Cricetulus griseus: one gene and its partner. The protein of the gene in region 1 interacts with the protein of each later gene in a biochemical or structural test. Links are inferred from orthologs where the notes say so. Each region holds a gene or a part of one and is shown on either strand. Other genes may lie near its edges.

Region 1 (3,807 bases):
TGTCAGTTTGTGTTGTTCCAAAACACTAAAAAGAAAAAAATGTAGTTAATGACTTTGATTTAAAAAAATCCAGGTCTTTTCAAAGTCTATGGAGTTCTTTCATAACATGACTAAGATACATATCACATAAATCAGTGCACATGTTAAAACCACATAGAACTAAAAACACAACTGAGAATGTAAAACAGAACAAAACAATGTCATGGGGCTATATCAAAGGTCAGTATCCTGGCTGAATAATGAAGTCATAGAAGATGTTACTAAGGGAAGCTAAAACAAAGTTTTAGATAGCTTAAATTACTTTAATTCATGCTTTAAAATGGGCATTATATAGTTTAAAAGAACTCAAATGTTTCAAACAAATCATACTCTGGATTGAAGAAAAAAATCTCATCATTAACAGAAAATTAAGAACAGACAGGAAAATATAAATATAAATATGGCTAAATATAACATTGTCATTTTAGGCAGATAATACTTTTTACTAAGAAAGAAAACATATATTAAGCCAAGCATGGTGGTAAATACCTATATCCCAGTACTTAAGACACTGAGGCAGGCCAATTTTGAATTTAAAGTCAGTGTTCAAGGACCAACGTGCTCAAGTACTCCACACTAAACCCTATGTCCACACCATACACCTGTCCTCTAGTAACCTTTGTGTTTCATCTGTATTCTGCCAATGTTCTTACTTAACTGTGAACTGATTATTCATATTTTTCTATTCAACACCAAAGCAGCAAAAGCAATATATTCATAATATACTACAAACACCATAGACTGATTAGAATTCTCTTTCAGCCACAGAAAAATTAACCACCTCTGTTTATGGTGGATCCTTAAAGATTACAAATCTAAGGTTGTGTAACTAGCAAAGAGCAGATTAGATTCAGTTCCCAAACCTCATTCTCCAGTTATTTGTTCCTAATGCAGGGTTGCTTTGAGTGTTGTAAAGGTGGGACTGCACTGCACACTAAACCAAAACTTCATTCTATGGAAGAAACAGCTCTTGCCCTCTACTAGGCAACAGTGTTTACTATGCATCTACCTGCATGTGTTCCAATGTTTACAAACAATAATTCATATCCTTTCCTCAAGCCCAAACCATAATCTCCTTTTGCTGCACATCCTACAGATGTGACTACAGTGGAACAGGTATAAATCTGTGCTATGACTAAGTCATGATTTAAAAAAAAAAAAAAAAAAAAAACAGTCTAAGATCCACCTGGCAACTTAAAAGACTTTTAAAAAGAAATTTAGCATATGCTTCTGGAATATAACTTTAGAGAATATTAAATAAAGGCATACTTTACTTACCGCTGTGGTAGGAGTCTGTCATTAGCCAGGTATCCTGGTTTGTGAATCTCTTTATTATAATCTCCATACTTGGCTTGGACAGCATATGAAGCCAAAAGAACTGCAGTTTCTGGTGGGCAATATATCTCATCATTTAAGATGGCTTCTTTAACTTGCAAGAAGAAAAGTCTCTGTGTTATTTCTTGAATCAATTCCTCAGAAACATCTTCAGGAAAGAATTTAGCTCTAAACTTGAACTGTAAAGGATTTTCTTTTTTAACATCTTGCTGTGTCACCTAGAATAGTAATTTCAAGTATAATCAACAAAACTTAATTCACTGTAAATGAATATATTTACATCAAATTCTTTTTTGAAGAAAGTGGATAGTAATGCTATATACCAGTCTGTAAACAAATGCATGTGCTGAAGTTCCTGTGTGTGGTCCTAAGGCTGCCAGCAGCTCTGGGAGCCCAGTCAAGAGCCAGAATGAAAACATCTTCGTGTACTGGAGCTCATCCTGCAGACATTCACAGCTGGCGGGCTAGTTTTTAATGCATGTTAACACTTGCTTCAAAGTTCTATTTCTGACAAGCATTGGTTCACACAGTGTGTGTGTAGAAATGTTCGAGATTCTTCAATGAATTAAAAGGCTGAGTAATGATCAAAAGAAAACTGCAAAAGGAGGCCTGGACTTAGTCAGACCCTGCTAATGCTTTTTCAGCACTGATTAACAAACATCAAATTAATTTAATGTTACTATATACATCTTACCTTTTTATTAAGTTTGAGCCAAGTAGAATATCCTTTGCTGTCTACATACTGCAGCCCAAAAAACCAGACCTCACGTAAACCAACTGTTTTTACAACCTACAAAACAAATTCAGTTCAACATTCACACAATGATCAGATGACATTCAACACTACAGACCACAAGGACAAAACTACACAAGTACAAGTGCCACAGAAAAGGGTTTTCCTTTAACACACTCTTTTCTTTTTGACATGTTCAAAGAACATTTCTGAAAACATCAATTCAGGTTCTTTTTATTCTCAATCCTGTTATGCCACTTCTATCTTCTTTCTTGACTCTGTTTTCTATCTTCATTTGCTTGGCTCACATCACAGCCTCAATAAATGAAAGAACAGTGTGAAAGATAGAAGCACAGATGGGGCAAGCCTATATTCCTATTTGATTCCCTCCAAGTGTCCCACCGGTACCTAGGGCAAAGCACTTCACTCTGGTGACAGAGTCTAGTGCCTTCAATACTCTACCTTCACTGAAACAATTCTTGGACCATGCCTAAGTTTCACCATTCTACATTGTTGCTCATGCTTTTCCTTCTGCCTACAATACTTCTGCATCACCAATTGAATAATTTTTTATTTAAGTCCCAGATCAACTAACATTCTTTATGTGAATAAAATCTCTTCTATCATAGAACTGAAATTATCCATTTGTTCCCTGTATCAACTAGGTTACAGTGTGTCTTTTTATGTGTCTTAACACATAAGGACAGAGTGATATTATTTTATTCATCTTGAAATCCATGTCTTCTGATAGAATGACTAGTGGAAAGTTCCCAGGAAAAAGCCACACTATGTTGAAATTGCACAAGACTAAGCGCGGAAATTTTACAAGACTAAGCATGGAGAGTTGAAATGTTACAGATGCACAAATTATCCTGTTGTTATCTTTGGTCTTTGTCACTGCCATTCATTGTGCTCGTCCTTATCTGACCTAACATCCTTTCAACAATCTAGTTTAAAGGACAAAACAACAAGAAACCACCTTCAGACTCTGTTAGTTTAGCAGATCACCAGCTTCTACTAACCCTAAGCTAAGTATGTCATCAGATAACATCTGAAACATACAGTGGAGTTCTTCCCTATTGCTGTAATCCATTTGCCTACTGTCTCCACCAGAGTGGTGAATGTTATATGCTTCTTTCTTGTTCTGTGACTGCAGGAATCCACAGAACCATGTAGTCAAATCAACCTGTGTATGTGTTCCTAAAGGGCTCAAAATAAACTTATTCTCTTTGAGGTGAGAACTGTGTTGCAAATGAACACTAATCTGTGATGAGCATTCTAAGGACTGGAATAAAGTGGCAGAATCAGAATACCTACCAGGATACCACCACATTATACTATTTTTTTTTTAATACAAAAGATTTAACTTCATTTAAGCAGAAAGCATTTTTGGCTAACTTAAACAATTTTTTTCATTTATTAATTTCATTTTACATGTGGGTGTTTTTCTGCATGTGTCTTTACATCACATGTGTGCTGATTCCACAGAGGTCAGAAGAGACTGTCCAATACCCTGGGAACTGGAGTTACAGACAGTTGTAAACAGCCATGTGGGTGTTGGGACTCAAACCTGGGTCCTCTGTTAGAGCAACTAGGGCTCATAAGCATTGAGGCACTTCTCCAGGCTGGTTAATTTTTTAAAGGACAATCTTAAGAGACTTGTGTTCAAGACAGCAAACCAAACTCTTCAGTTTACTTTC
Region 2 (4,364 bases), on another chromosome or scaffold:
CTCCAAAGCTACATACAGAAACCCTGTCTTGAACAACCAAAAGAAAAATATTTAAAAAATTAAATAAAAGAGAAGCCGCTTTGGAAGATTTGCACTTGGAGCCAAGTGCTTCAAACTAAGGAGTTGTGGGTGGGTCAGAGTTCAATAAACTAGGCCCACTGGGTGCAGGACTTCGAGCCTCCTGAAAAGCTAGCTTGACTCACTGGGCGTGTTTGCGTGCGTGTGTCTCTCTGTGTGTGTCTCTGTGTGTGTGTCTGTGTGTGTCTGTGTGTGTGTGTCTGTGTGTGGTGTGCGTGCATGTCTGTGCGTGTGTGTCTCTGTGTGTGTGTGTGTCTGTGTGTGTGGTGTGCGTGCATGTCTGTGCGTGTGTCTCTGTGTGTGTGTCTGTGTGTGTGTGTGTGGTGTGCGTGCATGTCTGTGTGTGTGTGTGTGTGTGTGTCTGTGTGTGGTGTGCGTGCATGTCTGTGCGTGTGTGCGTGTGTGTCTCTGTGAGGGTGTGTGTGTGGTGTGTGTGTGCGTGCGTGTGTGTCTGTGTGTGTGTCTCTGTGTGTGTGTGTCTCTGTCTGTGTGTGTGTGTCTGTGTGTGTGTCTCTGTGTGTGTGTGTGTCTGTGTGTGTGTGTGGTGTGCGTGCATGTCTGTGCGTGTGTGCGTGTGTCTCTGTGTGTGTGGTGTGTGCGTGTGTGTCTGTGTGTGTGTCTCTGTGTGTGTGTGTCTGTCTGTGTGTGGTGTGCGTGCGTGTGTGTGGTGTGCGTGTCTGTGTGTGTCTGTGTGTGGTGTGCGTGCGTGTGTGGCAAGCGGACTCCATCACAGAGGAAGAGTGGGGACAGTCAAGTGGTGACAGCGTTTGGTTTTGCAGTAGTTTGCCACTGAGCAGCAGGGAGAGGACACTGCGGAGCCATCTTCCTCGGACGAAGAAAACAGTGCATGAAACGGTTACGCTTGAAAGGACACCTGGCTTGCTTCAGAGTTGGGGATGCGTGGCCAGGGGAACAAGTGCTCGCGTGACGTAACGAGGCCGTAAACGTGGCGGATGAACGGCGGGCGACTGTTTCCCTCCAGTCATCTTTTCAGCGCGGTGGCGGACGCCCAGGGCGGCAGCGGTGCTGGCTCTCGTCCCTGCGGAGGCTCCTGCCCGTCTCGGGGTGAGCCGGCCCCGCGGGGCGCGGCGAGGGGAACTCGTGGGGACCCCAGAGGGCCACGGCCCGCGAAGCCACGCGCCCGGCGGCGCGAGCGTGCGTGCGTGCGTGCGTGCGTGCGGCGCTGCCATCTCTGCGTTGCAGGGACAATGGGGGACGAGGCCCGGGCGCGGCGGCCGCGGAACCCGGGCGGCAGAGCGGCCGCCCCGGAGCCCAAGGGCCCGGGCCTCGGCCCACACGCGCCGCGGACGCCCCTCGATGCCCCGCGCGACGCCGCCGGCCCACGCGCGACGCGCCCACGAGGCCGGCCGCAAAATGGCGGCGGCGCCGACCGGCGCCCCCTGCCGGCGCATGCGCACGGCGCCCCCCGCCCGCACGCCCGCGAGAGCGGAAGTCTTGTGACCCCGGAAGTGACCGTCCGGGCGGCGGGCGGCGGACGACGTTCGTCACTTGGTGCGGGAGGGAGCGCGAGAGCGACGGTCGAGCCTCCGGTGAGTGGCGCGCTGCCTGGCGCGGGGCGGCGCGCGAGGGGAGGGGGCTGGCTTTGTGCGGCGACCCCGGCGCTCGCGGGCCGGCGGGCGGGCGGGCGTGCGGCGGGCCCCGGGCGAGCGCGGGCGGCGGGCGCGGTCACGGCAGCGGGCGGGCCGGGCGCCTTCTAGGTCCTGCCCGAAGCGCCGCCGCTGCCCGGGCCTGGGCGCCGCGTCCCGGTCCCGGGTCCGGGTCCCGGTGCGGGTCGGGGGCGGGGGCGCCCTTTCCCGGCCGCGCGGGCGGGGTCCGGCCTGGGGCCCGCCCGGCCTGCCGCTCCCGCCGCGCGGCCCCCCCCGCCCTCCCGGATTGCGGGCCCTGCGGAAGCGCGGGCCGCGCCCTGGATGCTGTCGCCCGCGGCCACGCTTGGCCGCGTCGGGCGGGGCCTCCGGGACCCTCCGGGTGTCGGGCCGGCGCTCCCCCCGAGTCTCTGGCGCACGCCTCCCAGAGGGGCGGCGGCTGCCCCGACCGCCGCGCATCGCCTGCAGGGCTCGAGTGGGTGTCTGGGGGACGGGTGGGGATCTGCGGAACTGAAAGGCACCGAGGCGCTTCCGTCCCGGCGTGGTTCCGCACCGCCACAGACGCTTTAGGACCAGGGTCCAGCAATGGGCTCCTGAGATTTATTTTGCAACCGGTGCACCAGCTCCCACTCTGCGTTCGCGGACCCCTCACAAGGGAGGTCGGGCTTGCATATTTACCGTCTCATTTGGTCGCCACGCAGTTGAGCTTAGGACGGTATTCCACCGGCAGGAAGGAACAGACCCTTGTCCTGCACGTGGCTAGGACACAGAGCATCCCCGTTTCAGAGAACTTCTCCCCGTGACCCAGTGAGAGTGTCTTTGGGTTAGATCCCGGGCATCTAGGGGCAGCAGCAGGACCCACGTGGTTTAACGTTGCTTCTCCCAGTTCCGTTTGGTCAGGAGGCTACTCATTCTTCATGGGGAGGAAAGCTGTTCTGCTTCTCTGAGGAACGGGCTGTGGTCCCCATTTTGTGGCTTCATGGTGTGCCTGGGGTGTAGCCCTCTCAAACGAGCCTCTTGAGTTAGTTGGGCAGTGGCAGCGCCTCCTATCTCCTCTAAAAGTTGCCCTGGCGTGGCTACCTCCATCATTTCCCGGCAGGTGTCAGGGTCCCTCTAGGTTGCAATGCCTCCGGGCTGTCACCGCTCTGCTCGCTGCCCACCCACAGGTATCCCAGGTTAGAGGTGAGCATGGCAGAACAGGAGCCCACCGCTGAGCAGCTTGCGCAGATCGCGGCCGAGAATGAGGAGGATGAGCACTCTGTCAACTACAAGCCCCCAGCCCAGAAGAGCATCCAGGAGATCCAGGAACTGGACAAGGATGATGAGAGCCTTCGAAAGTATAAGGAGGCCCTGCTGGGCCGAGTGGCTGTCTCTGCAGGTAGGTGGATGTCACCTGACCCTGTCACCACCCCCTTTCCAGTCTGCCCCCCTCCTTCCAGGGAGTTAAAAAAAATCTAAGGAATGGAGCTCTTGATTCATGACTCTTGCTCTCCAGACCCCAATGTCCCCAATGTCATTGTGACCCGCCTGACCTTGGTGTGCAGCACGTCCCCGGGCCCTCTGGAACTGGACCTGACAGGTGAGTGGGTTTTGGAGTCCCTGGGTGGGGCCAGCTGGCATCCAGCCGCTGCCCCTAAAAATAATTTTCTGCACTGGTGCCCTCTGGTGGGGCAGGGGGGAAAGTGCAGCTAGGTGCTCTCCAAGGCCCTGCTTTGTGTCACGGAAGGGGCTGTGGAAAGGGAACGTGGGGGCAGGATGGAAAGCCTCCAGGCAATTGGCTGTGCCTCCTCCCCATACAGGTGATCTGGAGAGCTTCAAGAAACAGTCGTTTGTGTTGAAGGAAGGTGTGGAGTACCGGATAAAAATCTCTTTCCGGGTAAGGTGGAGGATTGGAGAGGCCTGGCAGAGGGGCAGAGCATCAGCACTGGGGGGCCGGCTGACCCTTGCTCTGTGTCCCCACAGGTGAACAGAGAGATCGTGTCAGGCATGAAGTACATCCAGCACACATACAGGAAAGGGGTCAAAAGTAAGTGGTCGTACCGATAGAGTGGGAAGCCTGTGGGTCCCGGGAGGGGCTTGCGTGGCCACTAACCATGCCTTTCCTGTCCACACCACAGTCGACAAGACCGACTACATGGTCGGGAGCTATGGGCCCCGGGCTGAGGAGTATGAGTTCCTGACACCCATGGAAGAGGCCCCCAAAGGCATGCTCGCTCGGGGCAGCTACAACATCAAGTCCCGATTCACAGACGATGACAAGACGGACCACCTGTCCTGGGAATGGAACCTCACCATCAAAAAGGAGTGGAAGGACTGAGCTCCAGCTGGGAGGCGGGCAGGGCGGCGGACAGACAGAAGGACCGACATGCCCCACCCCCAACCCCTACCCACCCCAAACCAAAGTGCTGACAGGACCCTCCCTCACCATTCCTCCCCTCTTCTGTCTGCCCCTCCTCCACCTCCTGCCTGCAGGCCCCTGTGGTCTCCAGTGTTGTCACATTGCTGCTTCTGCCTGTGCAGTGGGGGAGGGGTTTCAGCCCAGGCCTCCAATCTGCTGTGTCCCCCAGGTTTCCTCTGTCGTCCCTTCCTCAGGCCCTGGCTTCTAGAATGGAATGGAACACTGTCTGGGTTGCCCAGCCCACCTTGTCTCTGCCCCAGCTGAGCTAGCTAGAATGCTGGGCC

What was found.
Region 2: the proteins of Rdx (region 1) and Arhgdia form a complex in vitro, tested with the Homo sapiens proteins (2 studies listed by BioGRID and IntAct). The link is inferred for Cricetulus griseus from reciprocal best matches to the Homo sapiens genes RDX and ARHGDIA.

The regions. Positions count from the first base shown.
Region 1 is NC_048597.1:163,762,146-163,765,952, reverse strand, and holds part of Rdx (radixin), read right to left. Parts: intron 2,165-3,807; coding exon 2,069-2,164; intron 1,593-2,068; coding exon 1,318-1,592; intron 26-1,317; coding exon 1-25. UniProt on the Homo sapiens protein: Probably plays a crucial role in the binding of the barbed end of actin filaments to the plasma membrane.
Region 2 is NC_048600.1:133,068,109-133,072,472, reverse strand, and holds Arhgdia (rho GDP-dissociation inhibitor 1), read left to right. Parts: upstream 1-1,493; 5' UTR 1,494-1,628; intron 1,629-2,192; exon of another isoform or gene 2,193-2,341; intron 2,342-2,848; 5' UTR 2,849-2,870; coding exon 2,871-3,060; intron 3,061-3,177; coding exon 3,178-3,261; intron 3,262-3,481; coding exon 3,482-3,558; intron 3,559-3,644; coding exon 3,645-3,708; intron 3,709-3,799; coding exon 3,800-3,999; 3' UTR 4,000-4,084; downstream 4,085-4,364. UniProt on the Homo sapiens protein: Controls Rho proteins homeostasis. Regulates the GDP/GTP exchange reaction of the Rho proteins by inhibiting the dissociation of GDP from them, and the subsequent binding of GTP to them.